Tamandua tetradactyla: one gene and its partners. The protein of the gene in region 1 purifies or fractionates together with the protein of each later gene. This does not show direct contact. Links are inferred from orthologs where the notes say so. Each region holds a gene or a part of one and is shown in the gene's direction. Other genes may lie near its edges. The genes, in order: HDAC6, PKM, DNAJA1 and TUBB4B.

The links.
Region 2: the proteins of HDAC6 (region 1) and PKM purify together in Homo sapiens (affinity purification with mass spectrometry, with the first as the bait; 4 studies listed by BioGRID). This does not show direct contact. The link is inferred for Tamandua tetradactyla from reciprocal best matches to the Homo sapiens genes HDAC6 and PKM.
Region 3: the proteins of HDAC6 (region 1) and DNAJA1 purify together in Homo sapiens (affinity purification with mass spectrometry; 4 studies listed by BioGRID and IntAct, with this or other methods). This does not show direct contact. The link is inferred for Tamandua tetradactyla from reciprocal best matches to the Homo sapiens genes HDAC6 and DNAJA1.
Region 4: the proteins of HDAC6 (region 1) and TUBB4B purify together in Homo sapiens (affinity purification with mass spectrometry, with the first as the bait; 4 studies listed by BioGRID). This does not show direct contact. The link is inferred for Tamandua tetradactyla from reciprocal best matches to the Homo sapiens genes HDAC6 and TUBB4B.

What each region holds. Positions count from the first base shown.
Region 1 is NC_135353.1:121,434,220-121,441,495, reverse strand, and holds the start of HDAC6 (protein deacetylase HDAC6), read left to right. Parts: upstream 1-4,259; 5' UTR 4,260-4,365; intron 4,366-4,389; exon of another isoform or gene 4,390-4,520; intron 4,521-4,571; exon of another isoform or gene 4,572-4,728; intron 4,729-4,797; exon of another isoform or gene 4,798-4,915; intron 4,916-4,932; exon of another isoform or gene 4,933-5,025; intron 5,026-5,414; 5' UTR 5,415-5,443; coding exon 5,444-5,539; intron 5,540-5,623; coding exon 5,624-5,752; intron 5,753-5,894; coding exon 5,895-5,983; intron 5,984-7,276.
Region 2 is NC_135338.1:70,093,290-70,101,093, forward strand, and holds the start of PKM (pyruvate kinase PKM), read left to right. Parts: upstream 1-4,794; 5' UTR 4,795-4,873; coding exon 4,874-4,923; intron 4,924-7,804. UniProt on the Homo sapiens protein: Catalyzes the final rate-limiting step of glycolysis by mediating the transfer of a phosphoryl group from phosphoenolpyruvate (PEP) to ADP, generating ATP.
Region 3 is NC_135328.1:62,870,947-62,878,057, reverse strand, and holds the start of DNAJA1 (dnaJ homolog subfamily A member 1), read left to right. Parts: upstream 1-4,094; 5' UTR 4,095-4,244; intron 4,245-4,700; exon of another isoform or gene 4,701-5,137; intron 5,138-5,389; 5' UTR 5,390-5,399; coding exon 5,400-5,531; intron 5,532-5,686; coding exon 5,687-5,864; intron 5,865-7,111.
Region 4 is NC_135328.1:130,711,622-130,719,023, reverse strand, and holds TUBB4B (tubulin beta-4B chain), read left to right. Parts: upstream 1-4,466; 5' UTR 4,467-4,606; coding exon 4,607-4,663; intron 4,664-4,962; coding exon 4,963-5,071; intron 5,072-5,144; coding exon 5,145-5,255; intron 5,256-5,678; coding exon 5,679-6,739; 3' UTR 6,740-6,894; downstream 6,895-7,402. Other genes in the region: CIMIP2A (ciliary microtubule inner protein 2A), read right to left, coding at 6,895-7,034, 7,402-7,402. UniProt on the Homo sapiens protein: Tubulin is the major constituent of microtubules, a cylinder consisting of laterally associated linear protofilaments composed of alpha- and beta-tubulin heterodimers.

The sequences.
Region 1 (7,276 bases):
CAGGAACCCAGCTCTGATTCGAATATAGAAACTCTTGCATTCATAATGTACAGGAACCCCTGACCCCATTCTACACAATCCCTGACCTCACGCCCTACACCATCAGGTCTACAGGAATCCATAATCCAACTCTCAGTATGAGCCTCAGTCTCAAACCTGTAGAAAATTATTTCCTGACGCTGTGGCTGGGACCCCTGTTCTGACTCTCTACCCTCACGGAGCCCCCTGTGACCTCAACTGGTACCAGACTTCCTGCCCAGACATTATACAGGTACTGTTTACTGATGCTTTATGGGGCTCCCTGTCCTTACACCATGTAGGAACACTTTTCCTTCCCCTATGTTAGATTTACCTCCCTGACCCTCTGCAGGAACCCTTTCCTTACAACCACTCAGGAACTTCTGATCTGACTCTCTGTAGAAAACCTTTTCCTGAACCTCAAGAGAAATCCTTTACTTTAGTCATTTATGGGAACCTCTGATCTAATCCTTTATTGGAACTCTTGACCTTACTCTCTGGAAACATAGTCCTGACACTGAACAGGAAGCCCTGATCTGACTTTCCATAATAACCCTTATGCTGGCCTTGTCCCAGAAGTCCTGTCTTCACCTTGTATAAGAACCACTGTCCTGGGCGGGCCATGGTGGCTCAGCAGGCAGAGTTCTTGCCTGCCATGGCGGAGACCCGGGTTTGATTCCCGGTGCCTGCCCATGTGAAAAAAAAAATAAAAAGAACCACTGTCCTGCTGCAAAAGAAGAACACTCACCTGAATCTCTGAAGGAAACAGTGTCCTTCCTAACTGTACAGGATTTCTGTCCTGACCCTGCACAGGACTACCCTCCATGACTCTCAGCAGGAACCTGTGTCTTGAGTTGCTACAGAAAACCCTACATTTACTCAACAGGAACCTTTGATCTAACTCTTCACAGGAATCCAAGAAATGAACCAATACAAATATACCTACTCTCTATAGGAACCCCTGTTCTGAAATTGTTAAACAACCAATAGCCTGAATTTCCATGAACATCTGTCTCAAGTCTGCAGGAGAACCCCAGGCCTAACCCTCAACATGATTATCTGATCCACCGCTCTCTCTACAGGAACCCAATCCTGACCATCCTGAGCATGTTGTGATCCTATAGAAAGTAACTTTCCTGGCCTCCAAAGGAGCATCTAATCTTTACCTGTTCAGGGAGAAAAGTGCCCTTCACATCCTTCCCTCTCACGCCACAATGTCTCCAACTAGCATCTTTTCCTATAAACCTGCCTTGCATTGTAATAGAATCATTTTCCATATCCCAGACAGGAAACACTAACTGGACTCTGTAGAGAAACCCATATCCCTGCTCAGTACAAGAACGCCTGTCCCAATACTTTAAACATAATTTTCTATAGCGGTGTTGTCCGACAGAAATATAATGAGAGTCACGTGTCATTTTAAATGTTCATGCAGCCACATTTTTTAAAAAAGGAAAAGAAACAGGTGAAATTAATTTTAATGGTGTATTTTACTTTACCCATTTGCTTTAGTTTGTTAAAACTGCCAGAATGCAATATACCAGGAATGGGTTGGTTTTTATAATGGAAATTTATTAGTTTACAAATATACAGTTCTAAGGCCATGAAAATGTCCCAATTAAGGCATCAATAGGACAATATCTTATCTGAAGAAAAGCTGATGGCATCCGGGGTTCCTCTGACACATGGGAAGGGGCATGGCAATGTCTGCTGATCCTTCTCTCCCAGCTTCTGGCTTCAGTGTGGCTCCCTCAGCTCCTGTGGGCCCTTCTTGCTTCTCCCGGGGCATTTTCTCTCTCTAAACTCTCTCGGCTCTGAGGTCTCTCCAAAATGTCTCTGGGTTTTTCTCTGCATCCTCTCATAAAGGACTCCAGAAAGGGGATTAAGACTCACCTTGAATTGGGTGGGCCGCATCTCCATGGAAATAACCTGATCAAAAGATCCCACCCCAACAGGTCTGCATCCACAAGAATGGATTAAAAGAACATGACATTTTCTAGGGTACAGAACAGTTTCAAACCAGCACCACATTATATACAAATATTCAATATTTGTATTTTACAAATACAAATTTGTAAATTTTTAAATTTACAAATTTGTAAAATTACAAATACAAATTTGTAACTTTGTAAATTTGGTATTTTACACTTATAACCCATTCCAATTAGGGCGAGCCACATTTCAAGGGTTAATTAGCCACATGTGGCTAGTACCTACCATATTGGACAGTGGAGCTCTATGGAGTCAATAGAATCTTGGAGTAGACTCTGCCATGGGTTCATCAAAGCCTGTTCCCTTTCTTCCTGAGCCTACTCTATCTTTTCCAACCTCCCTTGCAACCTCTGCCAGATGGGACACAAGCTGAATTCTGGCCAACAGAACATGTGCCAAAGTGATACATACCACTTCTCCTGGCTCATAAAAACTTCCCTGGCAGACCTCCACTCTCCCTTTCCTTCCCCACCTACTGGCTGAAGAGAAAAAAATCTCCAAGGACCTAGAGGAGAGTACAGCCACAAAATGGAGGTCTCCTGGTCCATGAATGATCCACTAGTCATTTGTTAAGCCCCTGAGATTCTGGGTTGGTTTGTTATAGCAGCTAGCATAATTTATTTTAATGAATAACAGTCTCTTGACCTGAATCTAGGCATGATCATATGATCTTACTATCTATATGATCACAAGTACTGAACCTGTTCAGAAAAACCTGTCCTAACCCTGATCTGTTTGTAGGAACCTGCCATAATTCAGTCTAAGGAGCCCCATCCTGAACTTGGACAGGTTCCCCTAGTCTGGAGCTCTCTAGGAACACCTTTCTTGTGCTGTATAGAAACCCCTGCTTGATCCAGTAGAGGAACAGAAAGTTCAGGAACCTCTGTGCACTCCCCTATCAAGGGACATTTGCTTGACACAGTAGAGAAAGGTCAGGAGTGACCTGATCCTATCCAAGAGTCCCTGTCCTCACATCTCACACAAAAGGAATACCTCTCCTCATGCAGCCTGGAACCCCTGCTTTCATCCTTGAAAAGAATCCTAGCCAGGTAATGAAAACCAAAGAATGACACTCTACAGCAAGTATTGAAAAACTATTGTCAGCCAGCCAAGCCCAGCCCACTGCCTGTTTTTACCTTCTGAAAGGGGTGTGAAAAAGAGAAGAAAACAAAATTATGCCACAGAGACTTCAAGCAGCTTACAAATCCTAAAATATTTGCCTTCCTGCCCTTTATCGAAAGTTTGCTGACCCCTGTTCTACAGGAATTAATCTCCTGACTATACAGAACTATAGGCCTTGACCTTTTACAAGACTCCCTGCTTTGCAGACATCACAATCCCAGAATGTCCCCCAGTGTGTATCACTTCATATGTGTTTCTTTGGTGTATGTGGAGGTTTAAAGGTCTTAAGTCTGTGGCCTTCTTCCACTTGGAGAAAAGACAGCAGGAAAAGAGTGAAAAGGAAGAGGGGGCTGGAACTGGGAACCTCAAAGGAGTCAGAAGGCCCGGCTACTGGGCAGTGAGGTTGTCAATCTGCTTATTAGTCAGCGATGCTGAACCCCAGACCGCTTATCTCTCCCGCCCCAGCCTGCGGCCGGGTAGGAAATGGTAGAGAATGAGAGAGGGAGATTAGGAAAGACAAACCGGCCTCCCCGCGGGGCAGATATTTAGACAGGGGTGGGGGTGGAGGTACGGGAGCCCGAGGCCGGCACACTCACACTTTCCCATGCAACTTGGGAGCAGAGGTTATCCGGTGGAGGGGGCAGATAGGGAGACCAGCCAGCCGTGAAAAACTCCTGGTCCATTCTGGCCCTGGGCACTATTATTATTATCACAATTTTCCAGATGAGGAAACTGAAGCACAGAGACATTCGGAACTTGACCAAGGTCACATGGCTAATCGAAGAACCTGCTTCCTTATCTGCAAAGTAGCGTTAACAATGGGAAATCCCTCATAGAGTCGTGGCTAACAACATCTGGCACATAATACTTGCTATCTTCACAGCTGCTGGGGCCCCTCTTCCCCATCACCCATTTGTCACAGCAGACTATTAACAGCTAACGTTCGGTGAGTGTTCCACGTGTGCCACCTTAGCCAAAGCATGAAACACTGAATAAACCACCACATTTATTGTTACCATCATTCCTATTTTTGGCCTCCACCAGCCATCATCCCGCCTCAACCTCACTCGCCGGCGCCAACCCGCCCGCGTTACGTCATCACCCGGCGCCGCGCGGGAAGCGGCGGGGCGGTGTGAACACGCCCCTTCCCAACTCCTTCCTTCTCTTGCTCGCCCTCTCCCTGTCTTGAATCGTCGCAGGGCACGGTTGCCGCGGGTCCGAAGGGCTCCCAAGGTGACGGGGTAGGGGCGGAGGAGCACGGCCGTGGCAGCTCGGACGACCGCAACGATAGCTGGGGGAAAGTACAGCTTAAGCTTAAATCCCGTATTGAACAACTGGCGCCTCATGCTGACGCGCCGGCCAGCCGCCCGTTTCTGAAGTAGCGGGAGGTGTGCCCGACGCGAGGGGTGGGGCCTCGCGGAAAGGAGGGTGCCCGGTGTGGGTGGGATCTGGGCTGGCGGTCGAGAAAGCGTGCCCAATGGAGAGGAAGGGCTCGGGCACCGGGTGCTCCGCAGGCCGCTGGGAGCTTGGCGGCACGAGCAAGAGGCGGAGTCTGAGAAAGGGGCTGCGCTCTGTGAGCGGAACCCAGAGATTGGTGTATGTGGGCCTCGGGGGCGGAGACTGGCGGGAGGTGGCTCGGGACTGGCCGAAGCGGCTTGGGTGAAACAGGGAGTAGGGTCTGGGCGGGGGTGGGATCTGTGGAAAGAAAGAAGCCGTCCCTTGAGGGGGCGCGGTTTATTGAAACGTTAGGGGCGGGATCTGGCAGAAGGGCAAGTGCGGCCCGGTAAGGGGTGGAGTTAAGTGCTTCGCTCAGGGTGGAGTCGGGGCAGGGGCTGGGTCTGGCTAAGTGAGAGGGGTGGGTGACTATCCCAGGAGATAGGCGGGAAAGGGCAGGTATGTGAATGCAGCCTGGAATTCCCCTGGAATCTGGACTAGGTTTAGAGGAATGAAAGGGTCTGGGGATGAGCCTTGGTGGAGCGGAAGGGGCGATGACTAACTGGGAAGCGCAGGCCCTAGAACAGACTGAGCCTGGGGCTTTAGGACTCTGTGAAAGGACCAGGCTTTGAAAGGAGTAAGAAAATAGTGTCAAAGGGGTGGAGTCTAGTGGAAAGGGCGGGACCAGGTGGAAGGGAAACCCCAGTGAAGGGAGGGAGTCTTACGAGAGGCGGAGTTTAGAAGGCATGGATGGAGTATAGTATATGGGGTGGGGCCTGAGAAGGGGGCAGGAATGTGGGGGTCCTCAGGCACTTCCAGCCCCCTCACAGTCACCTCCACTCCCCCAGTACCGCAGCAGGTCGCAGTCTCCCCGACCATGACTTCCATCGGCCAGGATTCCACCAGGCAGCGAAGGAATAGGCACAATCCCCACTCGCCCCCCCACGTCTCCGACTCCAGCGTCACCACTGCGGTGAGGCCTCAGACCTGCTCTGATGAGGGGGAGGGGGAGCAGCGGGCCGTCCCCTGGACTCTGACCCTTCTCTCTGCCCGGCAGAAGCGAGGTGTTAAAAAGGGTGCTGGACCCCGCTCCAGCCCCAGTCTAGCGGAGGTAAAGAAGAAAGGCAGAATGAAGAAGCTCAGCCCAACAGCCGAGCAAGACCTAATCATGGGGCTGCAAGGGCTGGTGAGAGGGACCTGGACTCGGTTTGGCCTCCCATAGCAACCAAAAGCCTGAGACCTTGAGGTTCTCCATCCTGGACCATACAGGATGACCCCTCTGACTCAGGCCCTAAATGGATCTGTCTCTCCCATTTTTTTCCCTGCAGGATCTGGACCTTGAGGCCAGGGCACTGTCTGGCACCGGCTTGGTGTTTGATGAGCAGCTAAATGAATTCCATTGCCTCTGGGATGACAGGTGAGGCTGGGTCCTCTAGGCCATCCCGCACCACACACATCCACCCACTTTGAGCCATCAGGAAGAGCAAATCATTTCTTATGCCAGCCTAGGAACTGTGGAAGCTGATTGATTTAGGAACACGTGACTCAGGCTTGAAAGGGTTCTTATCGTTTAGCCAGCAAGCAATTGTTGAGCACCTCCTTTGTGCCACCGATTAGTGATACAAATGTGGAAAACACAGACAGGAATCCCCTCTCCCAAAGCTGATAGGTGAGTAGGAGAGCAGACCATTAAACAGCCACACAGCAGTATGAAGTGTGTAATGAAGGAGAACTTAAGTCCAGGGGACTCAAGGGTGTTTAAGATATGGCCCTAAGTTAGCATCCCCATTTCCCCAGAAGGCTTCTTGAGGAAAGGGGATTTGTGCTGAAACTGAAGAATTACACTCACATTGGCCCTATTTTTCACATTTGTTGTAATCCATCACCAAATTCGTGTAGCTCTACATTGAAATTATATTCAGTATCTGACCTCTCTTCACCACCCCCACTGCACTCAGCATCACTATTCACCTGGAATGTTGCAGAGGTCTCCTCATTTCCCCCCTCCCCCCTTCCACACCTATCCCTACAGTCTGTTCCCCACACAGCAGCCTAAAAAAAATGTGTATCGTATGACATTCTCTTTCTTAAAATCCTTCAAGCAAAGACTGCTGCCCGTAAGGTAAAGTCCAAATTCTTCATTCTTTCATGTGATCTGGCCCTGCCGTACTTCTGTGGTCTCATCACTCCACCCTCCCTCCTCAGTCACCTTGCCTTACCCATACTGGTCCTCTTGCTGTTCTTCAAAGCTGCCAGGAACTCTCTCACCTCAGGTCTTTACCCTGACTGATCCCTTTTCAGGAGATAGGTTTCTGCCTTCGTCTCTAGCAGCTAATGTGTATTTATCATTCACATCCCAAGGAGACTTTCTCACAAATGTCTTTTCCTGCCCCAGTCTCTAACACGCCTGGTCTTAGAGATCTTCATAGCCCATGTCATTGTTAATTACTATATTTATGTGTTTGTTTACCAGTTAGTATCTATCCTAACATAAGACTCATTATGGCAAAAACTGTGTCTGCCTTTTATTTATTGAATAAATCTTTAGCATCTATGGAGGAGTTAGGGATACTAAAGTAAGCAGAACAAACAGAAATCCCTTTCTCATGGAGGTTACATCTTAGAGGGGGAAGACAGTAAACAACAACAACAAACCCCCAATAAACTATATAGTATGTTAGAAAGAGAAGTGATGTGGAGAAGAATAAGG
Region 2 (7,804 bases), on another chromosome or scaffold:
GCAAGCTGAGTTACTTGGATCCAGAATGATGTTCTGACACTGATCACAAGGACTACCCTCCAGGACTAGTCCTACAGAAAGAGAATACCTATTGAGCACTGTGTTAGACTCATTCACGTACATCATATCAAACATCAACCTATGAAGCAGGATTTGTTCTCAACTTTTTAATTTTTTTTGCATGAGCAGGTACCAGTAATCGAATCCAAGTCTCCGGCATGGCAGGCCAGAACTCTGCCTGCTGAGCCAACCGTGCCTGCCCTCTCAACTTTCTGTTAAGGAACTGGACTCTTATATATTAAATTGCAGGACATGGTCATAGAACTAGTGAGTGAAACTGGTACTAAAATATGGAACCCAAACTCTTCAATATTATACTGCTTCTCAGCAGAAAAATGACTTTGATCTCCTTAAACTCATTGCAGCAGTATTTCACTATGCATCTAATGTGAGCAAAGATATGCTAAGTCTCTGTTAAGAGTGTTACGGCAGCATTTTCATAACGGGTGATCAAAATCTGTACTGAAGGACAACAGTTTGCCACTGGATTTCCAGTTTAATACAGGTGCATATAATCCCGGGAACATATCTATATTTAGAACTTTAAACTTATATTGCACATATTCCAGCATTGCATTTTCCAGATCACTTGCACACTAGTGTTGCCCAGCACTGTAGTTCATCCTCAGCTCAGGGGTCACATAGGGCCATTTATGCCATCCCCCTTTCTCTGGATAGGGAGGAAACTGACTCCCTGGTAGGGCTTGATATTTTTTTCTCTCAACAACTACATGTCCTTTCACAGTTTAATAACTAAGCATTTACTTTCTGTTGACAACCAAAGGAATGAGAAAAGGCTTACAAAAGAAATAAATAGAAAAAAATTTATCTAAAAAAATTTAAGCTGCCACTTTCTTCTCCCCAGCTTATCTGAGCTAACAGGAAAGCAGAATAAAGTCCTGTGATTCAGCTGCAGGCACAGTGCCTGCTTGAGCAGGTTACACCCATTGGTCTTATTTTCTAGGAAAACGAAAGAAGGAGCCTAAGAGAACAGATCCACTATTTTGAATGGGGAAACATATCTACTCTCAGAGGTTGGCTGAATGAAGGCAAAAGTTGACAGCTGTTTCATTGATAACAGTGTTCTCATCACTGGTTATTGGCTAAAAACTGGGGAATTGGAAAATGTCTTCTAAAAAACTGAAGAAAAGCTCCAACAATACTGATTTAAATAGACAAGGTTGAAAATGGAAATGCGGACCCCTGCATACATTATCAACTTTAATGATATTCCTTAATAGCTCTGCCCTAATATTAATGTTTTACATTCGCTTTTTACTCTCAAGCACTCGTTCTGCAAGATTCCAGCCCCCTATAAATGTATTCTCAGGGCCTCAACCAGTCCTTCCTTGTTCCGGGATCCTAGGATAATAAATAGACTTAAAGACAAATGAGCATTGGGCTCCCTCTCCCCGCCCCCCTTAGCTCCCCTCCCAGCCCCGTAGTGCCTGAGTCGCCTATGAAGGGGGCCTGGGCCGCCTACCATCCCATGTGTCTCCATTCCCCCTTCTGGTCCCGTCTTGGGCGCCACACCTCCTGTTCGGCTGTTCTACGAGGTGTGTGCTGGGACAGGCATCCAGAAGGGTGGGGAGTACTCAGCATGGAGCTGGGAGAACACCGTTCGTGGACTTAGAAATTTGAGAACTGACCGATAGCCCAGGGCAGCTGGGTTGACTGGGTTGGGAGCTGAGAAAAGAGACCCAGTCCCGCAGCCCAAGTTGGCGGCAACAGGTGTCCGGGGCGCCTGGGGGTCCGGGAGGGAGGTCTTCGGGGTTCCGAGGGCGGGTCCTGCTACCTCGCCGCTTGCCCATTGGCTTTTACAGTCTGTCAATGAGGTAATTTTTAATCATGTGTCCTTCCGCTGCGGAATGTAGTTCTCCCCAAAAAGGCAACCTGAAGGCGCGTTCCGCTTGGGCTGCACTTCTTACTGAAGGTGACTGAACCGAGCGAGAACGCGGAGGGGCGGGTCCAGGGTGCGGAGAGCCAGGATTGGGTGAAGGGCGGGACCGCGGAGGGAGTGCAGCGGCTCTGCAGCCGTGATAACCTTGAGGCTGAGGCGTCTGATTCCCGCAAAGGAGCGTCGCGTCTAGAGCTCCGCTTACCCGACATTTGCAGCGCAGTTTGAGCAACACCATCCGGAGGTGAGCGGCGGGGAAGGCTGGGCGGTTCAGGCGCGACCCGCTGGACTTCGGGTGGTGCGGAATCCTAGCCCGCCTTTCCCTCAGGTCACCCCTCCAGGGGTGGTTCAGGATCCTGAGCATCTTGGACCGGCCTGGGGTGAGAGGAGAAAGGCTGCTTGCGCCTACGGCCTGCTCTTCAGAAAGCCTTAGCTCTCTTTCCTTTCTCAGATATGTCAGCCAGCCCCTGTCATTCCTCAGTCCCACCCCTCTTCTGGTTTCATCCTCTCCCTCCTCAATCTGGTTCCATCTTCGCCTTTCTTCTTTTATTCCCTCCTAATCTGATGTCTTCCTCGCCTTCCTGTTCTCCCCCATCCCCCACTGTGTTCCCCTGCTCACCCTCCTACCCTTCCGCCTTAGTACAAGACCCATTCCTCCCCCTCGTGTTCAGCTTGTCCATGTCCCCATCATTTCGATGCTTTCCTTGTAAACGCTCCTCTAAATTCCCCTTTATGTCCCATCTCTGTTCCGCCTCCATTCGGGTTCCGTCGGCCCTTCCCGCGTCCTTGCCCCCTCATGTCTACCCCTTCCCACATTCATGTGCTCACTCCCGCTCCTCCCCCTCTCACCCCCTCCCTCATTCATGCCCTGGTCCCCGCCCTTTCCCGTCCATTTTGGTCGCGTCCACGCCCCCTCCGTTCTGGTCACGTCCGCTCTCCTCTTCCAGGTCCCCCATCTCAGTTTTGTCCTTCTTCATCCTGGCTTCCCAGACCGTCAGGAGAAAACGGCCTGTGGTCTTGGCGGGAGGCAGTGGGTCACCGCCCGAAGTGTACTGGTCGCCCGGCTGAGTCAACTGTGCAGCCTAAGGGATGCCAGGCTCCCTGGAGGGGATGAGGCGGCGGCCCGGGGCACAGGATTGTGTAACCCTAGGCCCTCCTCGCAGCAGGGGAAGAAGTGATGGTTCCTCCTGTGGCAAGTTCCTGTTTCTTCCCCGGATTCCATGAGGCGGGGGGGCGGGGGGGGCGGGTGCTGCAAGAAGTCTGCGCTGCCCCGGTGGGGGTGGGGCGCGTCGCGCGGCTCCATCTCGCCGCGGTGAGGCTGCACGTAGCGGTCCTGTGCCCGGGACCTGTCCCGCCAGATGGCTGGCCCTGCGGGGCAGTTACCAGCCAGACCTAACCGCCCAGCCGAGAAGCTGCTGGATGCTTTCCCGTGGTCTCCTCGCATTTTAGTCACTCACGGAGTTCCTTGTGTCTGCTGACGTTTATTAGCAAATGCTCCCTGACTGTAGAATGGAGAGGCCACGGGGTGGAGGGAGCAGGTTAAGCGAGAGGAGAGGGGAATCTGAAGAGCTCGAAGCCACGTGTTGCGTACCCTCCGTAAAACTCCTGTGCCAAAGCCAGTTTTGGGGAGTAGGGGTGATATACAAGAGGAAATCGGGATGCCCACAGCGGTTACAGCTCCCAGAGTTCACAATCCAAATAGAGGATATGTATTTTATTACGGTAAGTGCTATGAGGAAGCCACTAGCCTCGTGCTGGGGACAGAGCGGCAGGATGCCCACAAGGTGGCAGCCACACTGGATTTGAAGAAGCAAGGAAATCACCTTGTAGTTTGAAGGTTATTGAGAAACACAGTTATAGAAAGGCATCCCTTGACTTCTTATATAATCTTCTCCAAACCTAGAACATTGCTGTTTCCTGCCTCCAACCCCATGTATGTAAAATGAGCCCAGAAGTTTCAGTAACAATGGGCAGAGGCATGGGTGAGTTGTGGAGAAGAAAACAGACTTTAGAATCAGGTTGACTTCACAACATACTGAGATGACTGAGCGAATTCAGCCTCTGGACGTAGGTTTCCTATATGTAAATGGGAGCAATATTATCTGTATAATTGTTGAAAGGATGGGTTTCTGCACACACCTACTGATGTATATGTAAGTAAAGACACAGTGCAGTGTCTAGCATCTAGAAGGTACTGCACAAATGGCAGTTGATAAAATCTCATCTCTCCTGAGATGTCCAGGAGAAATGCCTTCAAATTCATTTATTATTTTGGTCACTGAGCACAGTTGCTTAATTCATAGTAGACCATGAGGGCCTGAACTTCTCAATTTGTCTCTCTACCATCCCTAAGCACATACAGTTACTCTTCCAGTCAGGATCTTTAAATGCCAGAAATCTGAAACCAGTCCCCTGAGGAATTCATGTACATTGTTTACAAAGTAACTAATAATATTACTTTGCAAACCTCCACTGGCAACCTGGGCTCTTTGGTCTCATGAGATCTCTGGTCTTCTAAGCCAGCTGATGAAAGGAAGGCAGGGAGAGGAATAATTTCAGGCTTTGGTGTTTGGTTGTAAGAGTAGAAACAAACTTGCAACACCAAGACTGAAATCTTCAGATACCAATCCTTGCAGGTTTCCAGGTGAGATTCAGGGACTTAGTTCTGTACTGGTAGGTATGAAGCTAGGAATCAAGGCAGGGATAGCTACCTCCAGTTGGCAGTGCTGAGGGTGTGGCCACTCCCTAGGGTACAGAGGAGGGACCTGGATCAGGACTTCCTCTGCAGCAGCATTGTTACCAAATAATTTGCCTCCTGGTTGCGTGAAGGTGCTGTTGGTAATACATTATGCTGTTCTGAGGGGAAGGGTATGTAACCCATCACCAGGTGGGTGAGTGGGAGGCTGTGGGCGGAAGATGACTCAACCTTTCAACTTAGCTGCTTTTGAAAGAATTCTCCTTATCGGGTGAGTGGGGAAACTGCATTGCAGTACTTGGAGGCTTGAGAAGTCCCCTCCCTTTTCAGTAGTCAAATAATGAAGCATGCGTTTTTGCCAAATAAAAATGTCTCAACTAAATGAAAAATTATTGGGTCAAATTCTCAGGCTCTGTACTGCCTTAAGAGCTTAGGTGCAGTAGCAGAGCCCTGTGTCCAGGTGAGGCAGTCTATCTGTCTGCATTCCTGAGCCTTTTCTGTGGTGGGCATAGCAGCCTCTCAGTGGGTTATCCTTTGAGCACAGGGGCTGAAGTGGACATGATATTACTTGATTTTTAATTTATTTTGTTTCAGCTTTTATGGAGGCAAGTGAGGATGCATTGTCTTGGCAATAGCTAAGACTGGGGATCAAGGTAGAGGAAAATGATGCATTTGACGTCATTGGTATTTCATAATCACTCCAAGTGTCCACAGTTAAATCCCAACCACAAGAATGAGTTGTCCTGTGAGCAGTTTTATTACAACCTTGTTGAAGATCTTTGTGAAGTACATATTTGGTAAAAAAAAAAATCTTATGGGACCTTGAGTCATCACTTTAAGCATCAGTTGTGGTATATAAGGAATAGTGCTGTGTGACTAAATGTAAGAAATGTACCTTTCTTAATACCACTGTGCTTTTGGGGAGCTTGCGTTTTTTCTCCAAGAGCCAGACTAGACTGGCTAATTGATTAGTTTGATAATTTGGGGCTTCGTTAAAGCATTTTAGGAGAAGATGAGCAGCACGGGTGGTAAATAGTGGGATGCAGCCTCTGCAAGACGTTTTGGCCTGGTTCAGCTGTTCAGCTAAGGGATCACAGGGGGGTTGCCAAGGGGTGCATTCCCACGCCTGCAATGGTATGTGTCTGGCTGCACGTAGGAGGGACAGCCAGGCTGCAGTACCTCTGGTGGCCACTGAGACTCCCTCCACCAATGTTCCCTTTACCCCCACCCCCACCCTGGCCATGTCCTTAGGCAAAGCTCCTGGAAAGCTCTAAGCCTTTCATTAACTGACCCCAGCAAGCTGTGTTTGAAAGCCAGTCAGAGGCTGGGGAGGGAGTGGGGTGGGCTGCCAATACCAGCTGTTGTAGGGCAGCGAGATTGTTGCTCATAGCTGCTAGCTAAATATGCAGTCAAAATATTATTTGAATGGAGCCCATCCTGAACACCTTTCATCAACATCCAGATACTTTTTCAACTTTAAACAACTGGTGTCTCTAGAGATGACTCCAAAAGAATTACCTGGTCAGCTGAGTAACAGCGATGACATATAGCCATTCCCCATTTTGGAAGAGACCAGGAATTTTGAGTTAAGAGGTAGGGAGGTAGGTGTACGTACTAGTAAACTTTCTAAACAAAACTATCCCAATATCCCACTTTTGTTACTACGTTAGAGAGCAGACTAACAAATGATCATCCATTGGGTTGGCAAACATTTTTGGGGGGAAGGGTACATGGTTTGGGAATTGAACCCAGGTCTCCCGCATGTAAGGTGAGCATTCTACCACTGAACCACTTGTGCACCCTGGCAGACATTTTAAATGCCTGACAATATCAAATGTTGGCAGAGGTGAAGGAAAGCAGGATTGATAAAACTGCATTAGAAAGCAATTTGGCAATAAATAGTAACAGAATAAACATATTCTATCATCCAGTGATTCCATTTCTAGATAAAACTCATAAATACACAAGAATACATGTACTTAAAGAGTTTTCATAATATTGATTGATATAGGGAAATTGTATTAATGGTGGGGGTGGTGATGGTTACCAGTAGGGTGACACATAAAAAATGGACTAGATATACAGTGGACTAGTAAGGAAGTTAAAATGAATTAATTAGATCTATATGCCAGACTAGAAGGATCGTAAATGTAGTGCTGAGTATAAAAAGCAAATGATGACCCAAAAAAAGGATATATACAGTATATATTTTAGACTAATTTTTTAAGAACACAACAATACCATAGTATAAATATAGATACACTGTATATAGACTCAGAACTAGAAGGAGACAAAATTCATGGCAATGGCTGGGTGGCAAAATTCATGATGGCATGTAGGAAGGTTGGTTTGAGGATGGAGAAAAACTGAACTGATTATTTGTATTTCGTATTATTTTAAAAAAATCTACAAGAAAATATGGATGAATTTTGTGGTCTGTTCTGGGTAGTAGAAATATGGATATTAATTTGTTTCTTTTATTTATTTTAAAACAAAATAAGAAGTAGTTCTATGAAGGTCAATGTCAGAAGACGAGTCATACAGTCATACTAACTAGGTCAGTACAGGCACTACCCAACCCCTGCTCCCCTCCACTGATTGAGGTCAGCTCCTCTAAATTCTGAGCCAGTGCCTCCCCTTGTTGAGGCATTCACCTGCCCTGCTTGCATCTGACTTTGGAGGGAGGGCCCTTGTTGCTTCTAGAATGGGTATTATGCCCAAGTGGCAGCTGAGGAACTCTGCCCAGTTTTTTAAGCCTAGGCTTAAACATAGCAAAGCATAATAAAAGTTTCACTCAAACTTTCCTCCTTCAAGGTGAAATCAATTCTCAAACTTTCAGGATCGAACCAGGAAATCCTAGGTATCCAAGGACATAGGAATTTCTCTAGTTTGCTGAAGTTTAGTTGTCCATTTGGGGCTAGACCCATTTATTATTGGTTTTTGTTCTTTATTTCACACTCTAGTTTGAAACCGGGCCTTAGACACCTGCTGAGATTCAGGTTGCTTAGTTCTAGTGCTGAAGAAGTAAAGAGGCGCAAGGGAATTTTATTTGAGCCTACAAGTGAACTCATTTTGTTTGTTTTTACAGCTCAAGACTTTAATGTGTAGTGAAAGATGAACACAGGCATTCTCCAAAGGAGGAGAAGCCAGCT
Region 3 (7,111 bases), on another chromosome or scaffold:
TCAGAAGAGGAAATACAAATGGCCAAAAGGCACATGAAGAGATGCTCAATGTCCCTGGCCATTAGAGAAATGCAAATCAAAACCACAATGAGATATCATCTCACACCCACCAGAATAGCCATTATCAACAAAACAAAAAATGACAAGTGCTGGAGAGGATGCGGAGAAAGAGGCACACTTATTCACTGTTGGTGGGAATGTCAAATGGTGCAACCGCTGTGGAAGGCAGTTTGGTGATTCCTCAACAAGCTGAATATAGAATTGCCATACGACCCAGCAATACCATTGCTAGGTATCTACTCAGAGGACTTAAGGGCAAAGACACAAACGGACATTTGCACACCAATGTTTATAGCAGCATTATTTACAATTGCAAAGAGATGGAAACAGCCAAAATGTCCATCAACAGACAAGTGGCTAAACAAACTGTGGTATATACATACGATGGAATATTATGCAGCTTTAAGACAGAATAAACTTATGAATCATGTAATAACATGGATGGACCTAGAGAACATTATGCTGAGTGAGACTAGCCAAAAACCAAAAGACAAATACTGTATGGTCCCACTGATGTGAACCGACATTCGAGAATAAACTTGGAATATGTCATTGGTAACAGAGACCAGCACGAGTTAGAAACAGGGTAAGATAATGGGTAATTGGAGCTGAAGGGATACAGACTGTGCAACAGGACTAGATACAAAAACTCAAAAATGGACAGCACAATACTACCTAATTGTAATGTAATTATGTTAAAACACTGAATGAAGCTGCATCTGAGCTATAGTTTTTTTTGTTTGTGTGTTTTTTTATATACACTTTTTGTATTTTTTATTTTTATTTTTTTCTCTATATTATCATTTTATTTCTTTTTCTGTTGTCTTACTATTTCTTTTTCTAAATTGATGCAAATGTACTAAGAAATGATGATCATACATCTATGTGATATATTAAGAATTACTGATTGCATATGTAGAATGGAATGATTTCTAAATGTTGTGTTAGTTAATCTTTTTTTAATTAATAAAAAAACAATAAGGTATCATTTTTATCTCTAAAGCTGGCAAAGATTAAAAATAATAATAAAAGAACCCTCCATGTTGGCAAGGCCCACTCACACTGCTGGGGGCAGTACAGACTGATAGAACTTATATGGAAAGTTATTACGATTTTGAATCTGTACTCACTTTGACCCAGAAGTTTCAATTCTAAGTGTTCCTCCTACAGAAATAGATACATGAGTACCCAAAGATCTACTTGAGAACTCTCCTCTGTAGCACCGCTTGTAAAATGTTGTAAAAATAAAATTATTCATCAACAGGGGAACAGTTAAATGAATTATGGTCCTGCATACTACATACTATGAAATCATCGAAAATAGGAAGGTAGATATTTATCATGATATGCATGGTAACATAGCAGCAAATTTAGCAAAAAGGGCAAGGTACAAACACTATGCTATATATGATCCCATTTCTACAAAAAAATCACATAAACTTATCGCTGTTTTGGGTATTTTATGTAAATAAAAATGCTTCTTAAAAGCATTAACTTCTAAAGAAAAAAAAAGTGTCAAAACTTCTACTATTAAGGTGCCAGATTATTCGCCAGAATGTATTTTTCGAGATAGGTTCTATCAAGGAAAAACTGTCAAACGAACATATGTAAGGGTGGCTTTTAAGGCAACTATGACCTAACTTTGCTGTTGGGGTTACAAGTTACTAGCTCAAAGCTTGAATTGAGAGGGAAGAATTTTATACTTTTTTAAGCTGAGTTTTTAGTAAGTACTACATTCTTGTGGGTTAAAAATTCAAAAGCTTAAAAAAAGATACATTGTGAAATGCCTCTCTCATCTGTCCCCTCCCCCCAGTCCCTTTCTCCACAGCTCTCCCCATAGGCAACCATACAAGTTACTGTGTATCTTCAGAAGTAGTCTATGCATACACAAGCAATATATTTTTCATTAACCAACTTTTATGCCCATTATTTATTCACTTACTATATGAGCTTGCACATTTTAAAACTATCTTCAACATCACGTTTCACTGCGCCAAGTAGTTATCTTCATGTTTGTATCACATTTGCAGTTCTCAAACTTGTGGGTTTCTGAAGCAGAAACACTAAACATAGTAGTAGTCATTGTGGAAACTCTTGGTTGAAGTCATTTGATATATACCATACTGATGTTTACTTCATTTGCTTAATCAATATTAACATCATAAATGCATAACTTAAATTACAGTAAAGTAGGAACTCCAGGACTAAAACTCTTATGTAACACAAGAACAATATATTTAGTTATGGCTTATTTATTGTTCATGTCCATGCATGCCTTCACATCTGCTGGTTTCTGCTTGGCAAACCTAATTGTATGGTAAACAGTTCCCCAAATCGGCACCAAAATATTTTTTTTTCCAAGAATGGATTAATAGAACACTGTCTTTTCTGGTACCCCAAATATTCTTAATATATTATGTCTCTGGTTCCCTCACTACGTGGTGAGCTCCTTGAGGGCAGATACCATGACTTAGAAAATCGTTATATTGCACGCCGTAGCAATTACCGTCTGGCAATATTAGGCTTTAAATTAAGTGTGGGTTACACTTCATAAGTTATATGTAACACTGGAAAATTTAAGTGTTTAACAGGCAAAGCAAAATCACGCGGACTTGAAAAACTGCATTTGAGAAACTACAGACAGCTTGGTTGAAAGGTATCCCGTTTAAATCAATGAGGGCAATAAGGCTGAAGGGCAGGGTCATGCTTCCGAGTGAAGTTCAAAATTCTTAGCTTGGCAAGATATATCAAAGCATGGAGATATTTCCCAACGACCTGACTCCTCACCTCCAGCCACTCCGGCAGCCTTAGCTCTGGCTGTATTCAATTACTTACAATTTCCTAAAAACATCATACTTTCCCACACCTCTCAACCTTTTCTGTTTTATCCTTTCCTAGGAATGCTCTTCTCCCTTTTCAAAACTCCCTATAACCGTCATTTTCCCCAAAACGCTTTACTTTCCCCAATCAATCTAACGCTAGAAACTCTCCCCTCCTGACCACTATCTTGCCGTTCTGGTTTAGTTCAAAGGCTTCCCCTCTAAGTCCAAGAGATATGGCCCATGCTTTCTCAATTTTGCTGCTTCTTTGGTGCTAAATAGTCGTCATAAATTTAATGTATTACATTCAGGAAAATGGACACCGTTTTCCATTATGCTTCCTTCCCAACATTTGAATACCCAACGTTTCACTTCATAGACTCTAGATCCAAGTTCACAGAATGCTGGGACTTAAAAGTCACGTAAAACAATTTTTCACAGCTAGCCACTCTTAGCGCTACCGTGTCCCCGACTCGCCCAACCAGGAGGGATCCCTCGCCAGGGAAGGAGCTATGGTTCTCAGCTTGCACTAAGCAATCCTAAACGTTTCTCTGTTTACCACAATCCCAGACTCCTTGCACTCAATACGAAGGCGACAAAAAGGCTTAAGGCAGATAATGTGCACCTGGAGGCCGAGACATCCACAAAGGGCTCTTCCTCCCTCCCAGTTTGGTGAATTAAGAAGCTCTAGACTGTGTAAAAAAGACCAAATTTCAAGGCCTGAGAAGGGTCTGTGGACTAGGTCCACCTCGCTCAGCATTTCTTGCTCCGCGAGTTCCCAGAACTTCAGGGTCAAGAACTAACACAGTTGAAGGGGAAAGAGGGGGAAAAGGCGACGGTGGGGAGGAGGGGCTGCAGTGCTTTGTTCTGGGAAGTTCCCAATCGGCAGACGGCAGCCGCCTGGCTCCCGAGCCCTCCCCGCCCTATCGAGCAGCCGCAACCGCCCCAATAGTTTCAGATCCCCGAGTTGCATCGGAATTGCACCGCACAGGGCACAATAACCGCGTCCACCCGGGATTTCCGCACCTAGGGCTGCCGAAAGATAATGGCTCCAGAAGCTTCCAAAAGCGTCGAGAACGTGGGTTTGTACCCACCCCCCACACAAGGCCCTTCCGCGCAGCCCCTCCCAGCCCAAGTGCCCCCGCGCCGTTGCCCAGGTAACCGTGGGCGGTGGCAGTGGCCGGGAGGGGCGGGACTTCCGGCGAGTGACGCGCCCCGGCTCGACTACAAAAGACGACGGCTGCGGCGCGCCGGCCGGAACTTTCCAGAACGCTCGGTGAGAGGTGGAGGAGTGGTGGGTGCCTGAGCTGCGCACAGCGACGCGCTCCTTCCCGCTCCCCCTCACCAGCCTCGGCCTGCTCACCGGTGAGTCTCAGCCCTCGCATTTTCCTTCGTCCCCAGGCTGGCACTCTTGAGGCACTGGGGATTCAGGTGGAGCCGCGGTTAGAGGCGGTTAGCTCCGCGTGGGCGGGAGGGTTGTCGGTTCCTGTATCCACGATTCCCCATTCCGGTATCCACGGACTGTACTCCGACAGTCCATCCCCGGTACCCAGTAAGTGGACGTGAGGCCTTCTCTGAGTGCCCCCCCACGCAGCCCCCCCCCCACGCAGCCCCCCCCCCCCACGTAACCATCCCCCAACCAGCCTGAGGTCCCCAGGGAGCCGCCGTCTCCGCCTCCGCTTCCCCTCCGCGCGCGCCCTGGCGCCCCCTCCGCCCGCGCTCGCTCGGAGTGGGCGCCTTTGCGCGCAGGCGCGGGGGGAGGTAGGGGCCAGGGGCTGCGGGAGGGGTGGGGCGGAAGCTGCCGCTTTCGTTTCTTCTCCCTGCCTTCGTTCTTTGTTTAGGCCTGGGCTTCTACCCCCACCTCTTAGATACAGGGTAGGAAGGAGAAAGGAAGGAAACGGCGCCAAGTGAGGGGAGAAACCTGGCGAGATGTAAATACAGTGGTTGACACTGGCTTGTAGGGCAGGAGGGACTCGGCGATGAAAGCGGAGGAGATATAAGCTCCTTGATTGAGAGCTGTCCCTCAGGATGGGAGGGAGGGGCGCTTACTCTCTGAAAGTAATGTTCCTAATGAGTTCCATAAACCACGTTGTCCACCCACCCCCGGTCGAGCCCAGATGTATTTTCTTAGTGTTTGGCGTTCATCGAATTTACTGAAGACAATGATAATGTAATAACCGATGGACTGAATATGGTGGTGTTCTTTGGATGACTGCTGTTTTGTCACCATCTCTGGGGATAGGAAATAAGCAATCCAGGTTAATTGTCGCGTTTTTACAGAGGCTTTCATTTGGGAGAGTGGGAACCAACTGCTAAGACTTGAATTTTTCTCTTAGTTGTTAGTGTGTATGTGGTCTGTTAGAACTCGGGCTGAATTATCATAGGAATCCTTATCTTTACTCTGAAGTTTAAGAAGCTGTGTTATTTTAATCAGATCTTGGCAAAGGACAGGTTTTACTAACTGAAAGTACAAATTGAAAGTCCCTTAAAATTGCATTTTTTAATTTCAGGCTGTAGAAAATGGTGAAAGAAACCACTTACTATGATGTTTTGGGGGTCAAACCCAATGCCACCCAGGAAGAGTTGAAAAAGGCTTACAGGAAACTTGCCTTGAAATACCACCCTGATAAGAATCCAAATGAAGGCGAGAAGGCAAGTAATACATATCCTTAAACTTGTCTGAATAGTTTTTTGCCAGACGTATGAAATATTTTAGGACCTGGAATTGAGAGTGCCTAATATAGTGGCTATGCTTTGTTATACTTTTGTTTAAAAAACACGAAATTTGTTTCCTTTCTTGTAAACAGTTTAAACAGATTTCGCAAGCTTATGAAGTGCTCTCTGATGCCAAGAAAAGAGAATTATATGACAAAGGAGGAGAACAGGCCATTAAAGAGGGTGGAGCAGGAGGGGGTTTTGGCTCCCCTATGGACATCTTTGATATGTTTTTTGGAGGTGGTGGAAGGATGCAGAGAGAAAGGAGAGGTAAGAATAACCTGGTCAATATGCAACAAATTAAAGTAGCCATTGAACAAAGCAAATTCTTGTGACGTCATTTATTCCAGTGCTTTCTAACTTGTTGGTACAAAGTTGCAACTGGCCACAAACTGATTTATAATTTTTGTAAGTGAAGATTTGATGGAACTAAAAATGCTTAAGGTAATTAAGTGGTAATAAATAAGTGCTTCTAGTAAGTTTTAGCTTTTAGACTAAAGCTAAAGTTAATTAAGGGGACAAAGTTTAACAGTATAATTTTCTAAGCCGTTTTTACAGCTCTTTGGTGCAACACAGTGGTGGGTACTGTGGCCTTTTTTTCAATCAAGGGTGAGTTAGTGTTCAGAAACTTGACGTAGTCAAGGTCTTACAGGATTGAAAGATAGCTTCGTCGCCTCCAAGTAACTTAACTGTTGAATCTTGCACCACTTTTACCAAACTATACGTTTATAGCATTGAACAGAAATGTGGTTGTGTACTGTAAAACTACAGTATTCTGGTCAAGAGAAATTGCTCTGACTTTGTTCTCAGTATAGTTAGTACAAACAGGGTTTAATGGTTAGAAGCCAGTTTCAGAACAAACTAGCAAGCATTAAATTTCACTGTTGAGATTTTACCGTTCAAAAAGACTTTGGAAGTTGTTGGTTTACTCAGTCCTCACAAAGGTCTTCAAGGAAACAAATATGTTTTTATTTGCTCATTTTGTAGAAATTTACTATAAAAAGAAAATCTACAATCCAAATTAGTTGCTTTATTAGTAAATTATTAGGATTGATTTTTTGTTTTTTTAGTAACAACTATTCGTAAATTCCTATATGGCTTAGATCAATAAGAAGCCAACATATTAGACCAGAAAATAGTGTGCTTCATCAAACTTTAGAAATTTTATTTTTCCTTCTTTACATTTCCGACTCCGTATAACAAAGTTTAAAGTAAAAAACATAGCTTTTAGCATGCAGAATTAACTTCATGGGACTGTACAATACGGAACCCAGAGGTGCAGTTAGGAGCAGAAGGGTATAGTTCGTGGTATGTGACATGTAGCTGAAACAAACAAAAATGTTCCTTGGGCATGTTATGCAGGAAGAAGTTTCAGAACTTTTTCATTTAGGTGTAAGATAGTACTGTTTGGTGGTGGATAAAGTCCTTGTGGAAGAATCACTAGGCTAGGAACTTATTAACTAACCATTGACAGGTGACTTCATTTCTTTATCCACAGTGTCCTTATATGATCTTAA
Region 4 (7,402 bases), on another chromosome or scaffold:
CCCCTGAGCTCTCTGCCATTTCTGGGGCGCACGCTCAACCCCTCCACATGGTGGCAGCCAGGCTCTCCCAGTCCCCCAAGGAGCGTGCTACGCCTTTTCCAAGGCCCGAGGCTGCACAACTATTCCACTGCAATGAGAGGGGAGACTCATCCTCACCCTTCAGGGTAAACTCACCCTCTCCACACATACAGGTGGGTCCACTCTCCTGGCCGAGGTTTCTTGGCTTCAGACCCGAACTTCCACGGTTCTCACTCTGCAAACTCCAATCTCTCCCTTTTGTGTCCTTTGTCAAGATTGGCGGTGGTTCCATTTACACCAACAGTCTCTTCAAGCCCTCCAAGACTTCTCCATCAATCTCTTCACAGTTCCTCCAAAGTCTTCCCCTTAGCCATCCAAAACACCGTTCAAACATATCTGGCATTTGCAAACCGCAGCAGTACCCCACTCTCCGGTACCAAATCTGTTCTGGTTTGCTAGCTGCCGGAATGCAACACACCAGAGACAGATTGGCTTTTAATAAAAGGGGATTTATTTTGTTGGTTCTTCAGAGGAAAGGCAGCTAACTTTCCACTGAGGTTCTTTCTTACGTGGAAGGCACAGGATGGTCTCTGCTGGTCTTCTCTCCAGGCCCCTGGGTTCCAACAACTTTGCCCGGGGTGATTTCTTTCTCCATCTCCAAGGGCCCGAGCTGAGCTGCAAGTGCTGAGATGAGGAATGCCAAGCTGCTAGACTGTGCTACATTGCGTTCTCTCATTTAAGCACAAGCCAATTAAGTTAAACATCACTCATTGCAGCAGACACGTCTCCTAGCCGACTGCGGATATAATTAGCAACAGATGAGATTCACCTACAATTGGCTCATGTCCACAGCAACAGAACTAGGTGCTTTCACCTGGCCAAGTTGACAACTGAATCTAACTACCACACCATATTGTGGCAGTTTGCAATATTTAGCTGAAATTTGCCTAAGAGTAACCTCCAGAATGACCTCTTGACTTGATTTTAAATCTCTTAGCCATTGAAACTCTATTTCTTTTCCCCCTTTTGGTCAGTTCTTCCATGATATCAGGGCCCGGTGCATCCTTGGAACTTATGTCTCACAATGGCAGGGCCAGTTACGTTTCATGCTGCCAGTTCCAGGCTTACACCCCTGGAAATTATGTCCCGCGTTGGGGGGGAAGTTCCGTGTTTGGCTTAGAGAGAGACCACATTTGAGCAACTGTAGAGATTTTCTGGAGACGGCTCTTAGGCACTAATTCTAAGTAGGTTCAGTTTATCACTACAGAAATAAGTTTCATAAGGGCAAGCCTCAAAATTGAGGCTTTGGCTTATTAAATTGGGAGCCTCTGTTGCTTAAAAAAAAATGCCAGGAATTCCCCAGGTGGGGAAGCTTTATAGTTCTATCTTTCCCAGGCCTCCAGGAGTCTTTCTAATGTCCCGGTTTGTTTATAGTAATTACAAAACTAAGGTTTTAAATCTTTTTTTTAATTAAATAATTTTTAAATTGACATATAAGAAAACAACATACAAACACAAACTTTCTTAACATACAAACATTCCATACATGGTGTATAATCAGTGCCTCACAATGTCATCGTACATTCATTACCATGATCATTTTTTAGAATACTTGCACCACTCCAGAAAAAGAAATAAAAAGAAAAAACTCATACATACCATACCCCTTACCTCTCCCTCCCATTGACCACTAGCACTTCCATCTATGTTTTAACCTCTGTTATCCCTATTTTTTTTTCTATACCCCTTAAGGTTTTGAATCTTACCATTCACACAGCTTTTTTCTCTTTCTACCCTTTTACTTCAGAATTTATACTTTTACATATAAATTTATATATTTATATCATGCACCTAATTATTTCTAAGTAGTTCAAATAGAACTCTTTAATAATTTTCTTATTAATTTGCAATTTCCATCTGGAGGTATGAGAATATACATTGAAAATGAATACAAACAAATAGAAAATTAGTTACACAAAAAACAGAGGCACAGAAATACTTCTGAGAGGGACACATAAAGGATTGAATGTATTATCTCATCCCATTTCTATCTTTTTGCAAAACTAACTGTAATAACTATAATGGCAGTGTTTTCATTTTAAATCATATTGAGGCCAAATTATGTAACAGAAATAAAACCTTTTTTATAGACTCATAACCAAAATCTTTTCAATTTCCAATACAGCCCAAAGGTCCCCTTTTTAAAATAATTTCTGTAATAAGTAACCACTTAGGAACATCTGTCCAATACAAATGCAGGAATACATCAATTAATAACTGACTACACCAGCCAACAAACAGGCATTAAACGCTTAACACACCCACTAACAATTAAACAAGCATCAACTCTTACTATACCCAGGTAACACACTGGCTAGTATGTGAGCAGGCTTACTTAACTTCATTAAATACCAATTAATTGTTGGATTACTCATTTTTCAGGAGTATAATCAATAGACAAATTTAGGCAGGGCCTCAAACCCTGTACAGAACACACACCAAATACATCATTAACAGTTAAACAGGCATAAAACTCTTAGCACACCAATTTAACAATTAACCAATACTTAGATAACACGGTGGCTAGCACTTAAACAGGCTCACGTAGTTTCATTAAACACCAGTTAATTGTTGGATTCGGTTAGGGCTTCAGACTTTGTTCAGTAAGGTACCCCAAATCAGAAGGTGTAGGAGCCAGAGCACTGGGGATTGTTCTGGAAGCATGACCCAGGCCTAGGTCAGGGGACTCAAACTGCCTATTTACTCCCCGACCCACACTTACCCTGATGACCCACTCACCCAGTCAGATGTCCAGACCTGGAACTGCAAATGGTTCCTCTCTTTGAAGCTTTCTTGGAGCAGCAAAAGCCTCTGGAGTGCCGGCAGAGCAGAGCAACCCCGGTTGCTGAGCCTTTAGGTTAAATTCAGTCCGGCGGCCGCAAAAGGCTCAGCTCAGCTACCTGGCTTACAGCTGCTCTGCTGGGCCTCCAGAGCTCCGGGCATTCGTCCCTTCATGGTCACCAAATTGTTATGGGAGAACATAACAATTGCCTTCTTCTGCCTGACACGCTCAATAACCAATTCCTGAGAATTCCTGAGAAACCAGGGTTTCGAAGAAAGAGTTATTACCACACATAGTAGGAGAGCAGATGGACTAAGGACCCAAAATCTGTCTCTCCTAACTGCAGTAATTCAGGTAGTTCTGTTAGAGAAAAAGTGGGCAGGGTTTAGGATAATAAGCACTATGGCCCCAGATGATGTAATTACAGGTGCTCTAATTATTGAGCATGCGCAGATTGATTACATGCTTAGTCACTAAATGCATGAAAGAAAATGGTGGAATTGGGTACAGGTAACTTGTGGGTTACAGGTCTAAGCTACTGTCAGGTGGGCCCACTTAGGTTAAAGCCAGTTTCAACCATCAAGATCATTTGGAACTTGGGGGTGCATTAGTTCCAGAAAGACCCAAGACCCTTCAGTATCAGCCAGCAAACACTTTCCTTAGTGATTACAAGACTCTAAAGTTGAAAAACTGGACATCTAGGTACAGACGGTTAGTCACAAGGTTTTTACAATCGCAGGCGCTGAAGATAAGGGCTATACAAACAATTAGAGTTCAAGGCAGCTGGGATACAATTTAGAGAGTTCAGGCACTTCCGTGACTACTCCCATATACCAGAAAGTGAAAAGGAACATTTATATAACAATGTAGTAATTAAAATCATCCCTTAAATCCTGATTTCTCGGTTACAGTCTTTCTCCAAGTACAAACCAAGTCCCAGGTCAGGGCAGCGCAGGACCCGCCCGGCCCGTCCACGCCCGTCTCCAGGCGGCCTGTGCGCTCCTGGGGCAGCGGCACCAGGGCGACCGGCGTGGGGCCAGCGCGTCGCCACAACACTGCGTGTGGCTGCCAAGGGCTGGGCCCCGGGCCTCCGCGGACCGCGCGCCCGCCCCCATCCAGGCGGGGGTAGTGGGGGGTGGGACCCCCCCTCCAGGCCGGAGCCCCCTGACCTGAGAGCCCCGCATCCCAGACAGCTGCCAGGGCAGCGCAAGAGAAGCGGGGGCATGCGCAACTCACCCGAGAGCAAAGCCACTGGCCCCCCTCCCCCTCCCTTCCCCCGCCCCCTCCCATCCCTGCCGGAAGCCCGCGCCCGCGCCCCAAGCCCGCGCGCACGCCCACGGCCGCTGCACTGCGGCGGTTACCAAGACGCTAGCCCCTCTCAGCCAATAGAGCCAGCCTGTCGGCCTGTTCCCCGAATCCACCAATGAGAGAACAAATCAATCATTTGAAACACCCAATGGGAAGAGCACTGCGGCGCGAAAGGGGGCATTTTGATAGGAAGAGCAGAAGCCGCGGTTGGCCAATAAAGAGCGAAAGGGGAGGGGAGGGCGGGCCTTAGGCGGCTCGATGGACGGGGTCGCAGCCAATCCAAGCGGGGTTCTTGCCAGCCTCATTCTGGCAGCCCAATACATGGCCGGCGGGGCGGGCACAGCCCCTATATAAGGACTCGCGGAGCGTCGGTTGTAGCAGTCTGCGTGCTCGCTCCCCTATTCTCAAGGCTGTCCTGACGACCGCGCCTCCGCCGCCATGAGAGAGATCGTGCACCTGCAGGCCGGGCAGTGCGGCAACCAGATCGGCGCCAAGGTGGGCGGCCCGGATGCGGGATCCTCTGCGCGGACTCGGGCGAGCGGTTCCGGCTCGGAAAAGATGGCGGCAGCGGGTCGGGCGGGCGGCGTCCCCGCATTGCGGTCTCCGGGTGGCGGGCGGGCGCGGCCTCGAGGAACCCGGCGACGCGGCGGTGGCCGGAGGCGGGGGACGGGGAGCGGGGCGGAGCCCGGAGGGGCTGGGCAGGGCCGGGCCGTCCGTCCCGGGCGGGGTCTCTCCCGCGGCCCGGCCGGCGTGACTCAGCCCTGCGCCCGCCGGCCCGCCCGCGTCTCGCGCAGTTCTGGGAGGTGATCAGCGACGAACATGGCATCGACCCTACGGGCACCTACCACGGCGACAGCGACCTGCAGCTGGAGCGCATCAACGTGTACTACAACGAGGCCACCGGTAGGGACCGCGCCGCGCCCCCGCTCCCGCCCTGTGGCCCCACCCCCGCTGACACCCTCCTTGCCGCCCCCAGGTGGCAAATACGTGCCGCGCGCCGTGCTGGTGGACCTGGAGCCGGGCACCATGGACTCGGTGCGTTCCGGGCCCTTTGGGCAGATTTTTAGGCCCGACAACTTCGTCTTTGGTAAGTAGCCGCCCCAAGGTCATCCCCGCCCGTCCCAGCCGTGTTGACCGCCGCCGCCCTGCACCCCCCTGCCCCGTCACTCAATCCCCTGTCCTCAAGCAATGTGGGGAGGGAGGCCCAGCTGTCCGCTGGGAGGCGGCTGCCGAGGGAATCTCCCCGGGGAGGGAGGGGAGGCTGTGCTGGAGACGCAGCATGGCGCCCTGGGGTATTGGCAGGGGCTGCCTGTGAGGGAGGGACTGGTTTGACTTTGGTCCATTGCCCGACTTGTAACTGCCTTATCAGCTTGGCCTACGTGAGCATGCTTGCAGGATGAGTACTGCCGGTCACCTCACACAGTCACTTGTTGGCCCCTTTGGCACAGCGGGTGGTGACTGGGGGTGCTTGCCTGGCCTGAGAGTGACTGGCTGCTGCCCTCTCTTGTAGGTCAGAGTGGGGCAGGGAACAACTGGGCCAAGGGTCACTACACAGAAGGTGCAGAGCTGGTGGACTCGGTGCTGGATGTTGTGCGCAAGGAGGCCGAGAGCTGTGACTGTTTGCAGGGCTTCCAGCTGACCCACTCCCTGGGTGGGGGGACTGGGTCTGGGATGGGTACCCTCCTTATCAGCAAGATCCGCGAGGAGTACCCTGACCGCATCATGAACACCTTCAGTGTGGTGCCTTCGCCCAAGGTGTCGGACACAGTGGTGGAGCCCTACAATGCCACTCTCTCAGTGCACCAGCTGGTGGAGAACACAGATGAGACCTACTGCATTGACAACGAGGCCCTCTATGACATCTGCTTCCGCACCCTCAAGCTAACCACGCCCACCTACGGGGACCTCAACCACCTGGTGTCAGCTACGATGAGCGGTGTCACCACTTGCCTGCGCTTCCCCGGCCAGCTCAATGCCGACCTGCGCAAGCTGGCTGTCAACATGGTGCCTTTCCCACGCCTGCACTTCTTCATGCCTGGCTTCGCCCCACTGACCAGCCGGGGAAGCCAGCAGTACCGGGCACTGACTGTGCCTGAGCTCACCCAGCAGATGTTTGATGCCAAGAACATGATGGCTGCCTGCGACCCGCGCCACGGCCGCTACCTGACGGTGGCCGCTGTGTTCAGGGGCCGCATGTCCATGAAAGAGGTGGACGAGCAGATGCTGAATGTGCAGAACAAGAACAGCAGCTACTTTGTGGAGTGGATCCCCAACAACGTCAAGACGGCCGTGTGCGACATCCCGCCCCGCGGCCTGAAGATGTCGGCCACCTTCATCGGCAACAGCACGGCCATCCAGGAGCTCTTCAAGCGCATCTCGGAGCAGTTCACGGCCATGTTCCGGCGCAAGGCCTTCCTGCACTGGTACACGGGCGAGGGCATGGACGAGATGGAGTTCACCGAGGCCGAGAGCAACATGAACGACCTGGTGTCCGAGTACCAGCAGTACCAGGACGCCACTGCCGAGGAGGAGGGCGAGTTTGAGGAGGAGGCGGAGGAGGAGGTGGCCTAGAGCCAGAGAATCAATGGCTGGTCAAGTGTGCAAGTGGTGTGAACTCTTTATTCACTCCCACCCCATTCTCTGGTATCCACGTCTCACTGTGCTGTGCACTCTTTTCCTGTCTCAATGTCACCTGCTGTACAGACACCACCACCATTAAAGCATTTTCATAGTGTGTGGTTCCGCCTCTCTCCTTCCTTCTGAAAGGCCTTCCGTGTGCTGTTGCCAAACGTTAGTGCATAGCTGTCCTGCATGGCTGCGGGGAGAGCAAAGCTGCAGCAAGCCCTGGGCTTGGCCATGCTCCCGCCTGGAACAAGCGTGCAAATGGGCTGTGGGTTCGTTGGGGGATCTGCTCCCCTGAGCTCAGATCCTGGGGGTGGAGGGTACCCTGCCTATCTGAAAATGGGCATGGGGGGCTGGCTTAGTTTACAAGCTCAAGAGTCAGGTGTCAGTGGGCCCTGGGGCAGGGATCCTGGTGGGCAGTCCCCCCTGGGGTGGTGCCCTTCAGAGGCAGCTGTGAAGCTATTAGACACCTGTCTCTATGCCAGTGGAGCAGCACCGGTAAGTGGGCCGAGCCTCCAGCCCTTGCTCCTGCTCCCAGCTGCCTGTGCAGGGAATGTAAGGGGAAAGGGGTGTCTGAGAGCCAGCAGCACGTGGGGGTGGGGACTACTCACA